4 linked regions of the Xenopus tropicalis genome follow. The protein of the gene in region 1 purifies or fractionates together with the protein of each later gene. This does not show direct contact. Links are inferred from orthologs where the notes say so. Each region holds a gene or a part of one and is shown on either strand. Other genes may lie near its edges.

The links. The genes of interacting proteins can lie anywhere in the genome.
Region 2: the proteins of sod1 (region 1) and ppia fractionate together in Homo sapiens (co-fractionation; 3 studies listed by BioGRID, with this or other methods). This does not show direct contact. The link is inferred for Xenopus tropicalis from reciprocal best matches to the Homo sapiens genes SOD1 and PPIA.
Region 3: the proteins of sod1 (region 1) and prdx5 fractionate together in Homo sapiens (co-fractionation; 3 studies listed by BioGRID and IntAct, with this or other methods). This does not show direct contact. The link is inferred for Xenopus tropicalis from reciprocal best matches to the Homo sapiens genes SOD1 and PRDX5.
Region 4: the proteins of sod1 (region 1) and tpi1 purify together in Homo sapiens (affinity purification with mass spectrometry; 3 studies listed by BioGRID, with this or other methods). This does not show direct contact. The link is inferred for Xenopus tropicalis from reciprocal best matches to the Homo sapiens genes SOD1 and TPI1.

The regions. Positions count from the first base shown.
Region 1 is NC_030678.2:15,648,197-15,653,334, reverse strand, and holds the start of sod1 (superoxide dismutase [Cu-Zn]), read left to right. Parts: upstream 1-1,995; 5' UTR 1,996-2,011; coding exon 2,012-2,080; intron 2,081-4,915; coding exon 4,916-5,009; intron 5,010-5,138. UniProt on the Homo sapiens protein: Destroys radicals which are normally produced within the cells and which are toxic to biological systems.
Region 2 is NC_030679.2:126,270,456-126,275,650, reverse strand, and holds the start of ppia (peptidylprolyl isomerase A (cyclophilin A)), read left to right. Parts: upstream 1-1,995; 5' UTR 1,996-2,078; coding exon 2,079-2,147; intron 2,148-5,195. UniProt on the Homo sapiens protein: Catalyzes the cis-trans isomerization of proline imidic peptide bonds in oligopeptides.
Region 3 is NC_030680.2:34,742,567-34,747,907, forward strand, and holds the start of prdx5 (peroxiredoxin-5, mitochondrial), read right to left. Parts: upstream 3,201-5,341; 5' UTR 3,126-3,200; coding exon 3,114-3,125; intron 569-3,113; coding exon 434-568; intron 43-433; coding exon 1-42. UniProt on the Homo sapiens protein: Thiol-specific peroxidase that catalyzes the reduction of hydrogen peroxide and organic hydroperoxides to water and alcohols, respectively.
Region 4 is NC_030683.2:9,528,363-9,533,443, reverse strand, and holds the start of tpi1 (triosephosphate isomerase), read left to right. Parts: upstream 1-1,881; 5' UTR 1,882-1,918; coding exon 1,919-2,030; intron 2,031-5,081. UniProt on the Homo sapiens protein: Triosephosphate isomerase is an extremely efficient metabolic enzyme that catalyzes the interconversion between dihydroxyacetone phosphate (DHAP) and D-glyceraldehyde-3-phosphate (G3P) in glycolysis and gluconeogenesis.

The DNA of each region.
Region 1 (5,138 bases):
TTAAACGACACAGTTTGGCTAAAGAATTTTTATTGCAAAATGCTCCGCTACTCCCTGGACGGTATATATTTGTGCACAATATTGAAACACTGGGTCCCCTGTATGACATGGATTCCATATTCATATGTGCTACTAGCCGTCCCGGATCACACTGCCGCTTGTCACGATGTGCCCACATTCTTCGCTGTGCGCACACCTATGCCATCCCTGAATGAGCTGCTGAGTTAGCAGCGCTATTCTTCTCTCTGACGGTCACTGTATGACGCAAGCCTATGACTGTCTTATTGCCACGCTCTGTTTGAGTGTTATATGTGGGCGGCTTAATGCCCCCTTACTAGTTACTAAACCTTATTTTGCCTCCTGTCACCACTGTCGTTCGGTTTATTAACCGGACCCGGGACTGGGCCTCGCTCCATGAATACGTGTTGCGAGTTATAGTTCAACACATGTGTGTACAAGTATTTTAACATTTACTTTTCACTGATCAATTTCCCTCACACTGGGTGTTCAACCTGTGATAACCACACCGGTAATTGCACTTTGCCCTTTTCTGTCTGAAAATCTCGATTTTACTCTATTTTTTTTTTTGTTTTTTTTTGTTTTCTTTGTGTTTTTTTTCTCTATTTTTGATAACACACGCCCAGTTGATGATGTCATACTGGTTTTGGCGCCACTGTTGGGTTTATTGGGGGATTTGTTTGTTGCACATTCACTTTGAGAAAGGCTGCTGTGTCAGCCGAAACGTTAGTCCTTGCTAATAAATATTTTTTGTTTTCATAAGACCTGTGAGTGCGGCATTTATACATACTATACAGATGCTTTGCTATCCTGCACCCAGGCATTATTTATGCTATCCTGCTACCCAGGGGCCCCCACACCCCCTCTGGCACCCCCACCGGCTACTCATCTAAGGCTAGCCCCTCCAGTGCCAGGGTCCGACTGCTACCCAGGGGTCCCCTCACCCCCTCTGGCACCCCCACCGGCTACTCATCTAAGGCTAGCCCCCCCCCCCAGTGCAACTTATACTTACTTTTTCCACGATCAGCAGGGGGAGGGCAGCGAGGGAGCAATAGGGGAGGGCAGCCAGGGATCGGGATAGTTTGGCGGAGCCTGGGGCTTTTCCAAGAAACAGACATAGGGGCACATTTACTAAAATGCGCTTTTTTCTGGCCTTGAAATGCAAAGTAAACACGATAATTTCTGTAGTTCTAAAATGTCTCGACAAAGCTTTTATCGTTTGTGCAAAAATATCGCAATTGCGTTCTGAAAGTTTGTAAACGCCACAAAAACAGTTTTTGAAGCCCCCATAGGACTCAATGGCACTTGACAAACCTGGCAACGTCCCAAAGTGTAACCATAGCGATAATGAATTCCAAAATGTTCATATTCTGTGCACAAAATACGACTTTTTCATGGAAATTTTACCGAAAACCATGAAAAACCATGAAACTGACTTTTTCCCATACATTCCAAAATGTTCTATAAAAATACGAATTTATCTCAAAATTGTTTAGTAAATGGGCCCCATAGTGTCAGTAGCACTGCTCAGTAAGGAAATCTTTTTTTTAAATACTTTATTTTGTATTTATTTTGAAGTAACAGGTGGGTTTGGAGAAGTTCAGCATTAATGTAAATCCGCCCATTAACACTTCTGCTACAGTTTCAAGTCAAAACCCAAGAATAAAAAGGGATAAGCAGATACTGCCTTAGCAATTGCATTTACAAATAACGTTAAAAGCACTGAAACTGTGCAAATAAATGTTGTTAATTAAAATGATATTTTTATTGATTATACAACCAAGAATAAAGATTTGGGCGGAGTCAGAGCTTACAGGCAGCCCGCGGGTCACGTGGTTGAGGGAGCAGCCCATTGGCTCAGCTGCTGGGGCGGTGGGGCCTAAAGCGCCGCTTTTATTGGTTGGAGGAATCACGTGGTACGTTTGTGTCACTAGTTGTCTCTCAAGGTGCGCGGCTCCGCTTTCTCCGCTGTCCGGTCTCGGTAGCTGCAGTCATGGTGCGGGCGGTGTGTGTGCTGGCGGGAAGCGGCGACGTGAAGGGGGTGGTGCACTTCCAGCAACAGGCGAGTATTGTAGCGTGGCTTTAGGCATTGTGCCTTATGCGCTTACCCTTACTGGGCCTGTCCTGTGCCTTCAGCTGCTAGTGTTCCTGCAGCCTGCGCCATCTGTGCAATTCCAACCAGCCTTTCCCCTTAGGCAGTATGAGATGCACAGTGCATGCTGGGAGGCGGTTGGGTTGGCAGTGCATGCTGGGAGGCGGTTGGGTTGGCAGTGCATGCTGGGAGGCGGTTGGGTTGGCAGTGCATGCTGGGAGGCGGTTGGGTTGGCAGTGCATGCTGGGAGGCGGTTGGGTTGGCAGTGCATGCTGGGAGGCGGTTGGGTTGGCAGTGCATGCTGGGAGGCGGTTGGGTTGGCAGTGCATGCTGGGAGGCGGTTGGGTTGGCAGTGCATGCTGGGAGGCGGTTGGGTTGGCAGTGCATGCTGGGAGGCGGTTGGGTTGGCAGTGCATGCTGGGAGGCGGTTGGGTTGGCAGTGCATGCTGGGAGGCGGTTGGGTTGGCAGTGCATGCTGGGAGGCGGTTGGGTTGGCAGTGCATGCTGGGAGGCGGTTGGGTTGGCAGTGCATGCTGGGAGGCGGTTGGGTTGGCAGTGCATGCTGGGAGGCGGTTGGGTTGGCAGTGCATGCTGGGAGGCGGTTGGGTTGGCAGTGCATGCTGGGAGGCGGTTGGGTTGGCAGTGCATGCTGGGAGGCGGTTGGGTTGGCAGTGCATGCTGGGAGGCGGTTGGGTTGGCAGTGCATGCTGGGAGGCGGTTGGGTTGGCAGTGCATGCTGGGAGGCGGTTGGGTTGGCAGTGCATGCTGGGAGGCGGTTGGGTTGGCAGTGCATGCTGGGAGGCGGTTGGGTTGGCAGTGCATGCTGGGAGGCGGTTGGGTTGGCAGTGCATGCTGGGAGGCGGTTGGGTTGGCAGTGCATGCTGGGAGGCGGTTGGGTTGGCAGTGCATGCTGGGAGGCGGAGGGACAGTCCCATAGGAGGGTATTTCTGCATTGCCAGTATAGGTGTGGGGGGGTCTTGTCTCTGTCCTAGACTTTTACTGGTGGGAACAAATCATTTCCACATAAGCTGTGGCCCCTGTGCCACTTCCACGGTCTCTCCTACACACAGCGCTTGTTATAGGGCCCCGGGGTGTGAGCGCCACTCGGTGAGGGATATGTAACTCCCCGCAGCCCACTGACCGCTATATCATGAATGACAGTTGATGGGAGTTGTATAATAACAGAGGGCTGTAAGTGGGATGCACACGTTAGTCTCCCCCCCCCCCCCCTCTCACTCTCTCTCTCCTCTCCCAGGCCTCTTGCCTTTAGCTCTGTACCTAGTGTCCCACCCCCACAGCACAGAATCCAGGGGGGAAAGTCCATGTTGCGCTGTAGGGAAATCCCACAGAATCATTTAGTTTGCTGCTTAGTGCCCTGCAAAAATACCTTCCAGAACAAGTAGGTGCTGGGAGTTGTAGTTTCATACAGCCTGTGGTGCCAGTTGTGCCCATGTCTGCTGTCCTTATACACATGCATTGTTACCAGTGCCCCATGCCCTGCCGGAGCCGTTCCTGCCATGTAGTAGATGAGGAATGGGTGCCCTGCATAACTCCAGGGAATTGAAACCAGTGCCCCAGGGCTTTGCCCAGTGCTGCTATTGGTTACAATGAACACAAAGAGCATGCAGGGAGTTATAGTTTAGTTATACAGGAGAGTCACAGGTTGATGTTGTGACCCGCTGTTCTGGTTGGTGTGTCACGTGCCGCCCTTTCACCCCAGACTGTGTGTTTGCAGTGAGGCCCAGGCTGCATGACGTGCCAGCGGGCCGGCTATCACTGGGCTAAGCTGCGGCTCTCAGCGAGGGGAAGTCGGGTCAGAGCGGCCATCTGTTGTGTGGGTGTGAGGGCCGGGGGCTCGCTGCTTTGTGGCCATGTGGCATGGGGATTATACATGTTGGCAAAGCCACTCTTGGTTATCTCCTTGTAATTAGCCTGCTGGGCAGGCAGGTTGAGGCTGTGCCAGTTAGTGCAATTGTGCCAGGGGGGCCCTGATGCAGCACAAGCCCTCACTGTTTATGCCCAGGGCACACACTCACCATTAGCCACATTGTGCAGTCATTCACTGTCTGTAGAGCAGTGTTGGGCCCAGGGACTCCGCTAGATGCGGTTGAACTACAACTCCCACTATCTGACTGCATCTGGGCTCTTTGCAATAGAAGCAGCCAGTGTGGCAGAATGCCAGGCAGATAGGGCACAATGCCAGGCAGTTAGGGCACTGCTGTGTAAGTGTGACTCAGCACTTTGGGACTGGAACGTCGAGCTTTGTTTTGCAATAACAGCCATTTGCTCCGGCGTTTCATTGGCTGCAGCAGTGCCAGCGGTGTCTGAGACGGGCAGTGTTGGACTGCAGCTCCCACAATCCCACAGATAAGTCAGCTTAAAAATGAACCCGAGGTCAGGAATCTTCTCTGTGGCTCTGATTGGTTTCCCATTCTGTAGGCGGGCCATATGCCATTAACCCCTCAGGTGCTGGCACTTTTTGATCCATCTGCTGCATGAGTGGCCAGTAACATGGGCTGTGTTTAAAAAGACAAGTTGAATCTGTGGCACTGGCACGATATGCGGATTTGCCCACATGTGCAGCGTTATTACATTCAGTCGTCTAGAGCTTTAATAGTCATGTGACTCAGGGTAGGGGTTCAGTTAGAGCCTGCGCCTCGCTGAATCCAAATGCTGTAGCCATATATATCCCATAGCTCCGCTATCCTACCCGCACATTCCAGCTTTAATATAACATAGATTTCTATACACTGTACTGTTATGGTCGGGGCAGGAATTCCTTATAATAAAATCCTCTCTATGCAGGACGAAGGCCCAGTGACAGTTGAAGGGAAGATTTACGGCCTGACTGACGGAAAGCACGGCTTCCATATCCATGAGTTTGGCGACAACACCAACGGTAAGCGTGGCTGTAACAGGGACTGTGGAGTGTAAGCTCCTTTGGCTAAGGGACTGATGGGAATGATGCATAATCTCTGGGAAGCTCTGTGTCAGTGCTCAATAAATACCAGAAATAGAAAGTTACGTG
Region 2 (5,195 bases), on another chromosome or scaffold:
GCTTAGTGGAAAGAAAGGTTGGGGACCCCTCTTAAAGCAACCTGCAAGGGGCAATGTAAGGCGCAAGTCTCTCAAGTTGTCTCATGGCAGAAACACCCTGGCATTTGTATACAACTGCATTCTGACCACTATTTCTCTCTCCCAGTTGGTAAATAGGATACTTGATGCCAATGTTATTAAGAGAAAAGAAAGATAACAAAAATAGGAGAGCCTTTCTTTTTTTTCAAAAAAAAAAAAAAAAAAAAGTAGAAACCATGCTTTTATTTGGGTCCTGTCACACCTGAAGCTGCTTTCAGTAAGAAATTGTGTCCCATGGTCAGCTAAGGTACAAAATAGGCCACAGGCCCAATACGAAATGCCAGGCTACGATATTCACAGAGGGGTTGGCGGTAGCTAGGATTGCCACCAGCTTGGTATTATACCACCCTGGCTGCTAAAAACAATGCTTGACTGTAAAACCCATAAAAATACAGATGAAAAGGCAGGTATATTATTATTAAATATGGCAACCCTAGGGGGACCATTCAAGCGTTCGAATCCCGAATGAGAAAAATTCGGATTGGATACTATAATTTCTGAAGATCGCAAATATCACGAAAATGCTTACGAAAAAATTGTATTAGTCATGATAATATTGTATTGGTGATCCGAAAGTCACTAAATTTTCATACCGAACGATTGTAAACAGCGGGAAAACCTTTCTGATTTTTTCGCGCAAGCGTACGAAAAACTCGGCGAAAATACGCTCCGAGCGTTCATGTCCTAATAAATCTGCCCCTAGTTGTTTGCGTGTAGGTTTAGTAGGTCTTGCTTTCCTGGTAAGATAAAAAATGAAATGCTTCAAAACACCATCAATGTCAATGGGAATCACCGGTGGCCACCTGGCTTCTACATTTATAAACACACCTATCACTTTATTTTACGGTCGCCACATGGGTCACATCTGCACGTTTTGTCCCCTATTTTGTAGCTCTATAGATGGGCGTCAAAGCAGTTAAGCATTGTCCTTGTTTACCTCTTATTAAGCTCAAGCAATTATAACTAAGAGACGCTTTGGAGCAGTAATCACCTCAGCACTGAGCAGGCAAATGCCTCTCGAATTAATGGAAAGCAATTTATAATGCTGTATCGCCATTGTATGTATAACTTTATTTATAAAGTGCCACAAGGGTACGCAGCGCTGTACAGTCTTACAGAATACAAAATTACACACAGGGAGGACAAGTGATATAATAAATAAATACAATAAATATATATATCTATATCTATATATATATAAGTGCCATGTGGTATGAGACACAGTAGGAAGGAGGTCCCTGCCCCGTAGAGCTTACAATCTGAGTGGTTGGGTAACATACAGGCACAAACTGGAAGGTAAGAGTGCACCAGGTATGGGCATTTGCCCTTAAGAGCAGGACTGGGCAAAATAATGTTTCAGTGCTCCAGAAGGTAACAGCTGAGTTACAAAACGCTCAGGCGACAAAAACACTCAAAATCCCTATTACACCGGGTTTGGTTCGCTGCAGTCCACTCTCACTTTACTGCAACGCTGCAAATTTTTTTAGTGCACCTACAGAAAGAAGTATGTTGAAGGGCTTGCCAGAACTAGCTATTACACTTACTATTAGCCATTCATCAGCTATACGTTATGAAGAACGCTTTCCAGCAATGTCGTATAAAGCCACAAATGCATGCCGGATTACCCTATCCGCTGAATAGTGTTAACCCTGAGTTATAGCCCAAAGCGAAGGCAGCCACTCCCCGCGTCACAGCCGGACCGGCCCTCACCGCACCTCTACAGGCCGCGCCCAGGACTCCCGCGCTTCTGTGCCACACCTTATGAGCTCTCCTGCAGCCTACTATTGGCCCGCCGCGCTGTCAATCAGTACCATGGAACCATTCTATTGGTGTGTTTCCCTTAAACGATGCCAGGCGGGGCCAAGCTTCTCATATAATATCAGCCCCGCTTCCGTTTTTAAGCTCTTTTCCGTGGTTCTCTTGGGCTGTTTAGAGTTCAGGGGGTTAGGAAGCTGCACGTTGCGCTCACGGCAAGGCACTGTTTATTTTCATTCTGCACTATGGCTTTACCCAGGGTCTTTTTCGACATCGCCGTTGATGGCTGCCCGATGGGCCGTATTATCATGGAGGTAATGAGAGTAGACTCTTTACTGTCGGGGGAGGGGGGTGGCATTAAGTCTTGGCGCCATTTGTGAGAATGTCAGAAACTGCTGGTTTGATAGAGTCCGGTTGCACTTTCTTTGCGTGTGCCATGTTCCTGTGTGTGTGAGTGCGGCTCCCATGGGTGCTTGGGGCTAGCTGGAGCGATGGGGTGAGCCGGTCACATGACTGTAACACGATGGAATGGGCCGGGGGGGGTTCCATTGTTTGCTGCATGGTGCGGGGGCGTCACTGCGCTGCGGGTCTGGCCGTCTCCCCCAGCCCCGGGTGAATCTGCTGGCTGTATTGCAGCGTTATTCTTACCGCATACATGTTTCCTCGGTGTCACGTGATACACTAGGCTCTTGGTTGGGGGGGTAACTTGACGCCTTCTAGTCGTTAATATAAAGAAAATGACAATGTAACTGTATCACTAATGTATCATGTCCTGCTGTGCAGCGAGTTCATTCGCTGTTTGATAGTTATGGCTGTGATACATCCGCTGGGCAGCGTATTGGGCAAAATGGTCGGACTACAGCTCCCAGCATTCCTAGCGGAGGCAAGTACAGGGAGGGTAGTTCTGCCACATGTTGGTGCAAGAGCTGGGGGCTGCTGAGGGTGGCTATATATCATTTACTGTAAATATGGTACAAGTGAATGTCTGTTGCTAGGTCTTACTATACTAGGCCCTTTATTCGCTGGCTGGGAGAGCCCGCCTCCCGTGTGTCACTTCTATGGAGGGGGAGGAGGAATCCATTTTAGAAGAAATCAAGTAATGTGAAGATTTCTTGTTCTCAAAATGTCTGCTTGGTTGCTGAGCTGCTCAGCCCTGTGTTAGTGCGGGGTAGGTGTGCCCTGTGGGATGCCCCACTTGCTGGGGTGTGGGCATGGCGGGTATATTTAGTGTAGAATTCAAAGGGCTTTAATCACGCCGTGCCCTAGCGAGGAGACACCGCTCTGTGGGAAATACACCTGCTGCCTGGCCTAAAGGCTTTATGCACAAAGCCTGTCAGTGAGGGCTTATTGTTCCCTCAGGCTAATGCAGGGAGTGCTTTAGGGGCCCCAGCAGTGCATGTTGGGTGCATGGGTAATGCCATTGTGTATTGGTGCCAGGGGAAAGCTGATGTAGTCGCTCTGCATGGTTTGTGTCTAAAGGGATTGGAGCTGAGGGGCAAGTACGTGAGGTGCTGTCAGGGTTACTGTCCCCTTGGTGGCATGCAGGCCCCTCTCCCTTTCTTACTGCAGTGCCTGAGCCAGCAAATCCACATGGTGTGTATGTTATATGGTAGATATAGTGCATACTGATGGCTATATAGGGGATGGTAAATGCTTTATATTACTATGTACAGAACTGTGGCTGCATGGGTTTCTCTGTCCCAGGGTGTCCAATCTGCATGCACTTACTGCGCTTCATACAGGGGTTAAATCTGCTATTTATAGACTTATAGCGACGTAACTGAAGCCATATAAGGCATTTTCAGTTCTGCAGTCATGTTAATCCTTCCCCTGCATGAGCCTTTTTTTGCTTCACGTGGTGGTGGTCTGCCATAATCAAGCATAGGCATTGCCTTCCTGCCATCTTTGTGCCATGGTTCCCCCTCTAACACTGGTATGCAGGGCTAGCAACACTGCACCAAATGCGTTGGTCTCCTGCCTAAGCAAGGGCACGACTCCTGCTGATGTAATAAGGTTCACTTTAACTTTATTACATCTTGCACAATGAACTGCCTGGCATGCCTGTCCCCTCTCATGGTTAAATATTAATGCTCTTGCATATGCCATGCTGCATTATTAAGGGCATAAAAGCTACAGTGGGGTATCGGACAACAGAAGGTAGTTATGTGCCCTGGGTAATGCCGCCCCCCCAATCCCCCAGAAATGGCCATGTGCTGGTCAGTAATACGGATGGGTGCTGTGAGTGACCATACAAGAAGGGGCTCGGTCAGTACTGTGCATGTATGGCCAGGTTAAGGTTTGTATGCTGACGAGCAGTGCAATATAGTTACAAACCATCCGTCTAGTGGTGTCAGGCTTGGACTCTTGGCAGCAGTTTATTGTTTGTCTTCATAAAGTCTCAAGGCATCTGCAAGGGATCAACACTTCATAAATAGCCAGGAAGTGGGAGATGTGTTCTGTGCTGCAACCAGGCATCTTTGTATTCGGCACTTCCCTGTGGTGTCTACTCCCCAGTCAGGTCATGCCAGGGCCAGCCTTCTAATCTGCGTGTCCTTAATCCAGGGCTCCCCAGTCTTTTATACCTGTGAGACGGTTAAAATGTGAAAGTTGGGGAGCAACACAAGCATTAAAAATGTACCTGGGGTACCAAATTATGGCTGTGATTGGCTATTTGGCAGCCTACAGGCTGGTCTGTTTGCAACCAAAATTTGCCTCCAAGCCAGGAATTCAAATATAAGCACCTGTTTGAGGCCACTGGGAGCAAAAGCCAAAGGGTTGGTGGGTAACATGTTGCTCCCGAGCCACTGGTTGGGGGTCCCTGCCTTAACCTGAGTAGCAATCAGTCTGCCTTGTCCATCTGAGTCTGTGGATATTACCTTTACTAGTCAAATGGCATGTTTCTTTATCAAGCAGCCACATTTATGTTCTATAGCCTAAATGGCCTATGGAATGCAAGCCTATGTTAAATGGAATTAGTCAAATTATCATGGAATTTCAAGTATTGCTATAAAGGGAAAACGGTCTACAGTAGAAAAGACTAAGGTTAGCATGCAGTCTATTGTACAGTATCAAACAAGTCTGCGTTGGGCACTGGGCTACAGCCTGGCATGTGATGGGTGCCTACAGCTGTCATTCTGCCTCTGGTATTCAGTCTTAAACCATTCAGCCCCATGGCATCCCCACAACTATTCCCAGGGTGGAGTTCCTGCCCCTCTGACTGCACCCTGCTAGTACTACTAAGCTGTTCATAGTTTAGGAATAAAGTGCTACGTAAACCAGTAGAGGTTACCAGGGGACAATACGTTGTATAATAAGATACACATGTGCATGTCCGTAATGTGTTAAGCCTCTCCATTTTGCCT
Region 3 (5,341 bases), on another chromosome or scaffold:
TTTCAGCTCGGCTGCTTGAGCCACGTACCCCGGCAGATGAGTCTATATATGCAGAAAGACAATGAATGAGACTTAGTTTGTGATGTTGACATGCATATTTATCCACGTGTATGTATGTATGTATATTTTTATTTATAAAGCGCTACTTATGTACGCAGCGCTGTACAGTAGAATACATTAATACAAACAATGGGTTAATAAGATAATAGATAAATACAAAGTATAACAATAAATACAAATAAATACAAGATACAGTTGCAATAAGTTAAGAGTCAAAGACACAAGAGGATGGAGGTCCCTGCCCCGTAGAGCTTACAATCTATATGGGAGGGTAACTTACAGACACAAGTAGGCAAATATAAGTGCTGTAGGTCACAGTGGGTGACACTACAATATAAGTGCCATTTCCCTGATCATGCTTCTCTTCCTTTACCTTGGAGCAGCCAGGAGTGAACGCCCCCGGGACACCAAACAGCACCCCCTTCTTGTTAGCAAACACATCTCTGATGCTGACCTTGTTCCCAGGCCCCCCCTCATACACCGTCACATTAGGAAGTTGATCTCCAACCTGCAAGTATTGAATAAAAAAAAAACCCCAATGAAATATTAATTGTCTATAACAAGGAAGTGTACAAAGTTGTCTCAGGGATTTGCCCACAACCGAAATCCATTGTGTAAGTAATTTCCTTTACACGACACTGGAATTTATTAAGGTGTCTCTTCCTCATTGCGACATGTATAAGATTACAGTTACCAGCTTTGGGTAACAATTAGCAGTATCAGGTTGCCACGGCTTATTTTTCTTTCAGTGTATATGCAATTACAGTAGTCCTTCTGTGACAATACACTTATACAAATGGCAAGCAGCTTTAACAGGATGGATCACTGCTCCTAAATAATGAATGTATTCAGAGTAATGGATATTTCATGCTAATATCATAATACTACACATATTAATCTGAAAATTATAAGAAACAACTATATGTTCCTAGCCTTGGGCACATATATGTCCCCTGCAAATAAAGTATATATTGAATATAGACCAACATCACACTAGCCTATGTCTCGGCAGCAAACAGGTGTTCAGGGAAGTCTGACAGGTGGGTGCTGTTACCTGGCACCATGCAGGGAGAGCAAAGAGGGAAGCCTGTGAGCATAAGAATAGTGGATATAAGAATAATGGATTTGCAGCAGGGTCAGAGTGTTGTGTGTAAGGTGGGCTGATGTACTGATGAAGCAATACAAAAATTAGGAAAGTATTGAATACCAGATCTGATCATTTTCAGATTTAGAAGACTCCTTATTCCTGGCCGAACTGAATCCAAACCCTAAACATCACATGACTTTAGACAATGTGACAGATGAAGGTTGATGATTATTTTTTGAATGCTGTGTTTTTTTCCAAATGTTGTTAATTACATATGCAAATTAGTGTTTGGCTTTGGTTCGGTATTTGGACAAATCTGGTGTGGTAGAGTCCCACAAACTGACATGGGTGTATTAGTAGGGTGTTTCACTTATTAACCACCTAAAGCAGATTTTGGGGGAAGGGTGAATCCTCAGCGCATACCCAACAATAAAAGAACATTCTAGGCAACTTTCCAATACACAGTCATTACACATTTTCAGTTGTTTAAGAGTTATGTGTAAATGTCACTGCTACTGAAAAAACTAAAAGTTTTTTTTTATCCCTTTCTGTTTTGATTCTCTGCAAACAATATATTTGAAATCAGTTCTCTGGGTATATTATCCAGCCTCTGCTCTGTTGCTTTAGAAGGTACCAATAACTTTGAAGCATTCATTGTTATATGTATATTGGAACATTGCTTATAACCGTGGTCCCCAACCCGTGGCTCAGGAGAAACATGTTGCTCCCCAACCCTTAGATGTTGCTCCCAGTGGCCTCATAGCAGCTGCTTATATTTGAATTTCTGGCTTAAGGTGGCCATACACGCACCGATATTATCGTACGAAACCTCGTTTCGTACGATAATCGGTGCGTGTATGGTATGTCGGCGAGTCGACCGATATCGCAGGAACCTGCTGATCGGACCAGTTGGAAAATTTTGATCGGGCGCCATAGAAGGCGCCTGACCAAAATTCTCCCTTCAGATCTGAATCGGCATAAGGAGGTAGAAATCCTATTTTTTCTACCTCCTTACCTGCCGATTCAGCCCTGAATGGTGTGTGGCGGATCTTACGATGTTTCGTGCGACCGATGGTCGTACGAAACATCGTCAGATCGCCACGTGTATGGCCACCTTTAGAGGCAAGTTCTGGTTGCATAAAAACAAAGCTTTCTGCCAGTCCACATAGTGGCTACCGAATAGCCAATCATAGTGCTTATTTGGTACCCCCAGGTAAATTTTTCATGCTTGTGTTGCACCCCAACTCAGGTGAAAAAGGTCAGGGACCCCCAGCTTGGAATCACATTTCCTTTCACTATGCAAAAAATGAATAAACATTTGGGTGGAGTTTCCCCTTAATTTTGCTTGGAATTTGGATTATCTTATTGCAGGCCCGGACTGGCAATCTGTAGGCTCTGCTTAAAATGCCATAGACACTCACTTGCTACTGGGCCTCTGTGTACTTGATAAGGCAGAGCCTGCAGTATTTAGAATCTTAGCCCAGAGCTGCGATACTGTAACCAGACTAAAATAATCATTGCCAGGAGTAATTCCCCTGTTGCAATATACAAAGACGTGGAAACCCACTGGGAATTCTGGTGACAGCAGTTTGGCTTTTCAGCATGTTGTATGTATGTGTGTGTATATATATATATATATATATATATCTTAAACTCCAGTCCTTCATTATTTTATACAACAAGTGCACTGCAGAGCTTACTATCTATTAGTTGTACCTGGGCAAGCAGATAACATACCCAAGAACAGTAAGGAGTGAAAGCAGGAGCCACAGCATGCCAGGGAAGGAGGGCACACACGTTTATATAATCTAACTCGTATTTGACAGGCTGCCCAGTAGTATGAGATGTGGAATCCAGCCAATACCCACACAGAGAAATCTCTGCCGCACACAGGACATTGCTGCCGGTTACACTGTGCCAGCGCACATACCTGCCCACTACAAGCCGCTACTCGCTACATACGCACCTTTACAGACATGGCTCTTGTTCTGCTCACGAAACTTCCAACCGCTCGCAGAGGTGACAGGAGGAGGAATGAGACGGGGAGCCGAAGAGCCATGACAACCAAAGTGGGCTGAGCCGATGGGACACGGCAATTCCGCCCCTATAGGGCAGGCAAGGACTTTTTAAAAATTCCTAGCGCGCATGCGCGCACGGACAAAGCCCTTAACCTTTAAGGTTTGACGACGCATGCGCGGGGGGTTTGTTTCGCGGCAGAACGTAGCACTTTTTCTATTCACTATTTCTTTAATGTTAGTAGTGCTGCAATTGGGGTGTAATGCCGTCCCGCCTGTTCTGTTCTTCCCCCAAATTGCATTCCGCCAGGCAGTATGGCAGGTTTGTGCATAGGGAGCTTTGTTGTTGCCGCCCGACTTTCTCTTGCGGCTCTCTGGCTGCTCGTTCTGCCTCCGTGTGTTTCAAATGTGTCAGCAGCCAGCAGCACTTTACTAGATAATCCTACTAATCGGCACAGAAATACCCGCTTCATGTAGATCCTTGTTCTCAGTGCTGAAAAAGAAGGAGAAGCGAGAGGCACACTGATATCCCCCCATAACCCACAGAAAAACAGAGGCACAGTAATACACACCCACAGAAAATGAGAAGCACAGTGATACCCCCCCAGCCAATCACAGGCACAGTGATCCCCCCACCCCATAGGCCAAAAGAAAATCCAAGGCACAGTGATACCCCCCCCCCCCCCAGAAAATCCGAGGCTAAATGATCCCCCCCACCCCATAGACCAGTGCTGTCCAACTGGCGGCCCGCAACCCCCCTCTGTGCGGCCCCCCACCTGTCTGGCTGCTTTGATGGCTTACTCTTGTGTAAGCTTTAAATGGTATCAGTACTGAGATTAACTGCCCCCCCTGCATGGTTCTCACCTCTGATTCAGGCTGTAATCCCTCTGTATTGTTTAAATATGTAATCCCCTGTGTTGTTCACACCTTTTAATCTCTGCATTGTTCACCCCCTGTAGTGTTCACACCTCAGGCTCAGGCTGTAATCACCCATATTGTTCCCCTGTTCACACCTCAGGAGGAGTAGAAACCCACAAATAATCCCTGCACACTACAAAAAGAACATATACTGAGGTGGTACTGCAATTAAAAAGTTTTTTAATATATAGTTATTGTGCAGACTGTAGGAGCACTGCCAGCATTGTGTCACTGTATGCTGCCTGTGTGTGCCATACACACAGGCAGCATAGGGCAAGCAGAGTATGGCACACAGGCAGGGTAGGGAAGGCAGAGTATGGCACACACAGGAAGAGTAGGGCAGGCAGAGTATGGCACACACAGGCAGGGTAGGGAAGGCAGAGTATGGCACACACAGGAAGAGTAGGGCAGGCAGAGTATGGCACACACAGGCAGGGTAGGGAAGGCAGAGTATGGCACACACAGGAAGAGTAGGGCAGGCAGAGTATGGCACACACAGGCCAAGTTTGGCACAAACCAGCCAAGAATGGCACACACAGTGAAAGTATGGCACACGCAGGCAGGATAGGGAAGGCAGAGTATGGCACACACAGGCAGAGTAGGGAAGGCAGAGTATGGCACACACAGGCAGGGTAGGGAAGGCAGAGTATGGCACACACAGGCAGAGTAGGGCAGGCAGAGTATGGCACACACAGGCCAAGTTTGGAACAAACCAGCCAAGACTGGCACACACAGTGAAAATATGGCACACGCAGGCAGGGTAGGGAAGGCAGAGTATGGCACACACATGCAGGGTAGGGAAGGCAGAGTATGGCACACACAGGCAGGGTAGGGAAGGCAGAGTATGGCACACACAGGCAGGGTAGGGAAGGCAGAGTATGGCACACACAGGCAGGGTAGGGAAGGCAGAGTATGGCACACACAGGCAGGGTAGGGAAGGCAGAGTATGGCACACACAGGTAGGGTAGGGAAGGCAGAGTATGGCACACACAGGCAGGGTAGGGCAGGCAGAGTATGGCACACAGGCCAAGTATGGCACAAACCAGCTAAGAATGGCACACACAGTGAAAGTATGGCACGCAGGCAGGGTAGGGCAGGCAGAGTATGGCACACACAGGCAGGGTAGGGAAGGCAGAGTATGGCACACACAAAGGCAGGGTAGGGCAGGCAGAGTATGGAAGGTGTTTGCTGTACTACAACCATTAATATGGGTATGGTCATGTGATAACATGGGCGTGGTTTCAAGTGGGTGCAGTTTCAA
Region 4 (5,081 bases), on another chromosome or scaffold:
GGGTAGGGCAGGCAGAGTATGGCACACACAGGCAGGGTAGGGGGTAGGGCAGGCAGAGTATGGCACACACAGGCAGGGTAGGGGGTAGGGCAGGCAGAGTATGGCACACACACACAGGCAGGGTAGGGCAGGAAGATTATGGCACACACAGGCAGGGTAGGGGGTAGGGCAGGCAGAGTATGGCACACACACACAGGCAGGGTAGGGCAGGAAGATTATGGCACACACAGGCAGGGTAGGGGGTAGGGCAGGCAGAGTATGGCACACACAGGCAGGGTAGGGGGTAGGGCAGGCAGAGTATGGCACACACAGGCAGGGTAGGGCAGGAAGATTATGGCACACACAGGCAGGGTAGGGCAGGCAGAGTATGGCACACACAGGCAGGGTAGGGCAGGAAGATTATGGCACACACAGGCAGGGTAGGGCAGGCTGAGTATGGCACACACAGGCAGCATATTTCCAAATGATAAAAATCCCAGAACAATCCCCTGCAAGATTCATCTTCCACAGGCAACATAGGGCAGGGAGGGTATGGCACACACAGACAAGTACGACTTTTTCGTACTTTGCAACAAAATCACATTTGTCGCGCCTAGTAACCAGCAGGTTACTTGGGCCAGGTTGGAGCTGCAGAGTGCCATTGAGCCCTATGGGAGGCTTTCCTTGGGCCAGGTTGGAGCTGCAGAGTGCCATTGAGCCCTATGGGAGACTTTCCTTGGGCCGGGTTGGAGCTGCAGAGTGCCATTGAGCCCTATGGGAGACTTTCCTTGGGCCGGGTTGGAGCTGGAGAGTGCCATTGAGCCCTATGGGAGACTTTCCTTGGGCCGGGTTGGAGCTGCAGGGTGCCATTGAGCCCTATGGGAGACTTTCCTTGGGCCGGGTTGGAGCTGCAGGGTGCCATTGAGCCCTATGGGAGACTTTCCTTGGGCCGGGTTGGAGCTGCAGAGTGCCATTGAGCCCTATGGGAGGCTTTCCTTGGGCCAGGTTGGAGAGCCCAATCGTGCTTTTAATTGGCGAAAATTTGTGCTTTAATGAATGGGCCCCTTAGTACGTTATAGAATGGCCAAATCTAAGCAACTTCTCAATTGGTCTTCATTATGGATTTGTTATTGTTCTTTTTTTATTATTTACCTTCTTTCAACGTTTTGTAGTTTATAAATGGTCACTGACTCACTTGAGTCACTGACCCCGGCAGCCAAAAGACTATTGCTCTGTGAAGCTCCAGTTTTATTGAATTTCTTACTTTTTGTAACCGCATTTACTATTTAGGCCCTCTCCTATTCACATCAGTCTCTCACCCAAACAGCTCCCTGGTTGCTAAGGTAACTTGGACCCTAGCAACCAGATAGCTGCTGAAAAAAACTGAGAGCTCCTGAACTGAACTGAAAAAAATGCTGAAGAAACTCAAAGTAATAAGACGATCTGTGAGTTTAGCATCTAGAATGAAACCATTGTTATATATATATATATTTATAGTTCCATCCAGGATCTTAGAAAAGGACAAGCAGAAGAGCCACACTGCCTTCTCTATGATCTATGGCACAATTTGAGCGTATCACTTTATTATTTTTCAGTCATAAATCAGATGGTTAGCACATGTAAAAGTCTTCCACAAACTGGGGAGTCTTCTTAAATGAACCCAAACTCCACAAAACAATAAAAAAGTTGAAACAGGTATTTGCAAGCCCCCTGGATAGGATGACTGTCCTGCCATCAATCAAAATGGCGCCTCCCTTACACTGCACTAGGCGCGCAGGTGCTCACTATGGCAACGGGGGGGCGGGTCTGACGGAACGGTACGCTGACAGGAGTGGGCGTGTCCCTTGGGCGTATTTAAAGGGGCAGCAAGACCGCGGCGCTTGTCACTTCTGCCAGATTCGAACGGTATCGCCTAGGTGCAACACATACACTGTCAGACATGTCTTCCAGGAAATTTTTCGTCGGGGGAAATTGGAAGATGAATGGGGACAAGAAGAGCCTGACGGAGCTGATCAACACTCTAAACAGCGGCAAGATCAGTGCGGACACAGGTGGGGCGCTATAGGCGTCGGTGTGTTTGGGGTGCAGTGTGTGTGGGTAGGGGATGTTACCCATGTGCGATCCCGGGGAGTAAAACGTAACCTGCCTACAACTCCCAGCATCCCCCGGTAACCAGAAGGGTAACAGTGTAACTGTATGCACCTTATATTGGGTCGGGTTGCCCTTTACTGTTAGTGCCGGAGTCCTGCTGGTTAGTCTGGGCAGGTGTAGGTGCAAACTGCATACGTTTCTATATCCTGTCCCACCTCCCTGTAACTGTGGCCCCTGGGCAGGTGTAATCAGTGGCCCATTTCTGCTCTAAGTCCTAAGTCTGTCTCTATGGGGGCTACTCTGGCCTAACTATATATCTATTAGGGGCTGTATCCAGGCTTTATGGGGGTGCTCTGGCCTAACAATATATATTAGGGGCTGTATCCAGGCTTTATGGGGGTGCTCTGGCCTAACTATATATATTAGGGGCTGTATCCAGGCTTTATGGGGGTGCTCTGGCCTAACTATATATATATTAGGGGCTGTATCCAGGCTTTATGGAGGTGCTCTGGCCTAACTATATATCTATTAGGGGCTGTATCCAGGCTTTATGGGGGTGCTCTGGCCTAACTATATATCTATTAGGGGCTGTATCCAGGCTTTATGGGGGTGCTCTGGCCTAACAATATATATTAGGGGCTGTATCCAGGCTTTATGGGGGGCTGCTTTGGCCTAACTATATATATTAGGGGCTGTATCCAGGCTTTATGGGGGTGCTCTGGCCTAACAATATATATTAGGGGCTGTATCCAGGCTTTATGGGGGTGCTCTGGCCTAACAATATATATTAGGGGCTGTATCCAGGCTTTATGGGGGTGCTCTGGCCTAACTATATATATTAGGGGCTGTATCCAGGCTTTATGGGGGTGCTCTGGCCTAACAATATATATTAGGGGCTGTATCCAGGCTTTATGGAGGTGCTCTGGCCTAACTATATATATTAGGGGCTGTATCCAGGCTTTATGGGGGTGCTCTGGCCTAACAATATATATTAGGGGCTGTATCCAGGCTTTATGGGGGTGCTCTGGCCTAACTATATATATTAGGGGCTGTATCCAGGCTTTATGGGGGTGCTCTGGCCTAACAATATATATTAGGGGCTGTATCCAGGCTTTATGGGGGTGCTCTGGCCTAACTATATATATTAGGGGCTGTATCCAGGCTTTATGGGGGTGCTCTGGCCTAACTATATATATTAGGGGCTGTATCCAGGCTTTATGGGGGTGCTCTGGCCTAACAATATATATTAGGGGCTGTATCCAGGCTTTATGGGGGTGCTCTGGCCTAACTATATATATATTAGGGGCTGTATCCAGGCTTTATGGGGGTGCTCTGGCCTAACAATATATATTAGGGGCTGTATCCAGGCTTTATGGAGGTGCTCTGGCCTAACTATATATATTAGGGGCTGTATCCAGGCTTTATGGGGGTGCTCTGGCCTAACTATATATATATTAGGGGCTGTATCCAGGCTTTATGGGGGTGCTCTGGCCTAACTATATATATATTAGGGGTTGTATCCAGGCTTTATGGGGGTGCTCTGGCCTAACAATATATATTAGGGGCTGTATCCAGGCTTTATGGGGGTGCTCTGGCCTAACAATATATATTAGGGGTTGTATCCAGGCTTTAGGGGGGGCTGCTTTGGCCTAAGCATATCTATTAGGGGCTGTTATTGGGTTTGTGCTGTAAGGAAGGGGTTAAAATGGGGCAAGGGGTTTAAGGGTATGTGCAGCTGAGATAATGCACTTCTTTGCTAGCCCCATTTGAACTACCCCCTCTGGCAGCCTTCCCAGGTAGGTGGCCACACCCCTGCCAGTCCCCCAGCCTGAGGGCCAGTTAGTTGGATACAGTGGCCATACATGTGCAGGGGTGCTGCCATCTTGTATCTGCTGCTGCACCAATCACTGTGCCCCCACCCACATGGTGCAATGGCAGTCAGGCTGCAATACAATGGGATGCTCTGCCCACTCCGGCCCCCCCCCAGTCTGGTATAGGCGCCAGTGTGCTTGGTGTCTGCCTGACCGAATCTGGCCATGTGTTGCCTCCTAAGTGCTTAGTGTAGTTATTTGGCTGGGTTTATATAGCGTGGCCCTCTGCTGGGTAATATCCTGCACCCTGAGCGGCCAAAGTGTCCTTGCCCAACGTGTCACTTGCACAATTCTGTATATGAAATATATTCCCTGCCCTTCTGTTACGTGTGTCTGATATATACATAGAATTATTTCTAACCCATAATTGGCCCCTTTCAGTTCCTGATTGGCAGAGCTCGTTATGGAGCCTGGGGATGCTCTAAATCAAACCACAATCTCTCCGCATCCGCTGCTGTGACCTCTATGTCCTTCATATATAATAGCGTTCAGCCTGCCTGTAATGTGTGCAGTATCCCTGGCATCCCAGCATGCCTTGCACACAGGGCAGGAGTGGGTATGTGTTCATAACAGGATGTATCGAGTACAAGGAAAATAAAAAGGCCAATATATAAAGCTGGATGCTGTAAAATCCTTTGCTACATGGCAGCTCCGCAGGGGGGGGCAAGTGGCTTTAAAGCAACGGCTGCATCGCCTGAACCCAAGGGCAGGGAATTCAGGATTCAGGCCAGACCCCATTCATTCATTGGCACCTACACGCCTGACCCCACTTGATCCGTAAGACCCAGAATGCATTGCACCCAGCCGGAGTGTGCAGAGAGAAGGCCCAGAATGCATTGCTCATACAGCATGATGAAAGGCACACGACCCAGAATGCATTGCACGGGGGAGCGTTTAATTCAGTGGTTAATGTGTAGTTTTGGGGAAGAGGGGGCGGAGTCAGGTTTGGCATTAACAAAGGCAGGGGAAAGCTCTGAAATAAGAGGGGTTTCTGGGAGTTGTAGTAATGCAGAATCTTAGATACCCATGGGGCTTGCACAGTGTTGGGGCTGATAGCCCCCCCCCCCCCCCCGGGCACACGCATCCCTGGCTAGCGACCTGCCCCTGTCTCTCGGCAGCCGGGAGTCTGTGCTGTGAGTC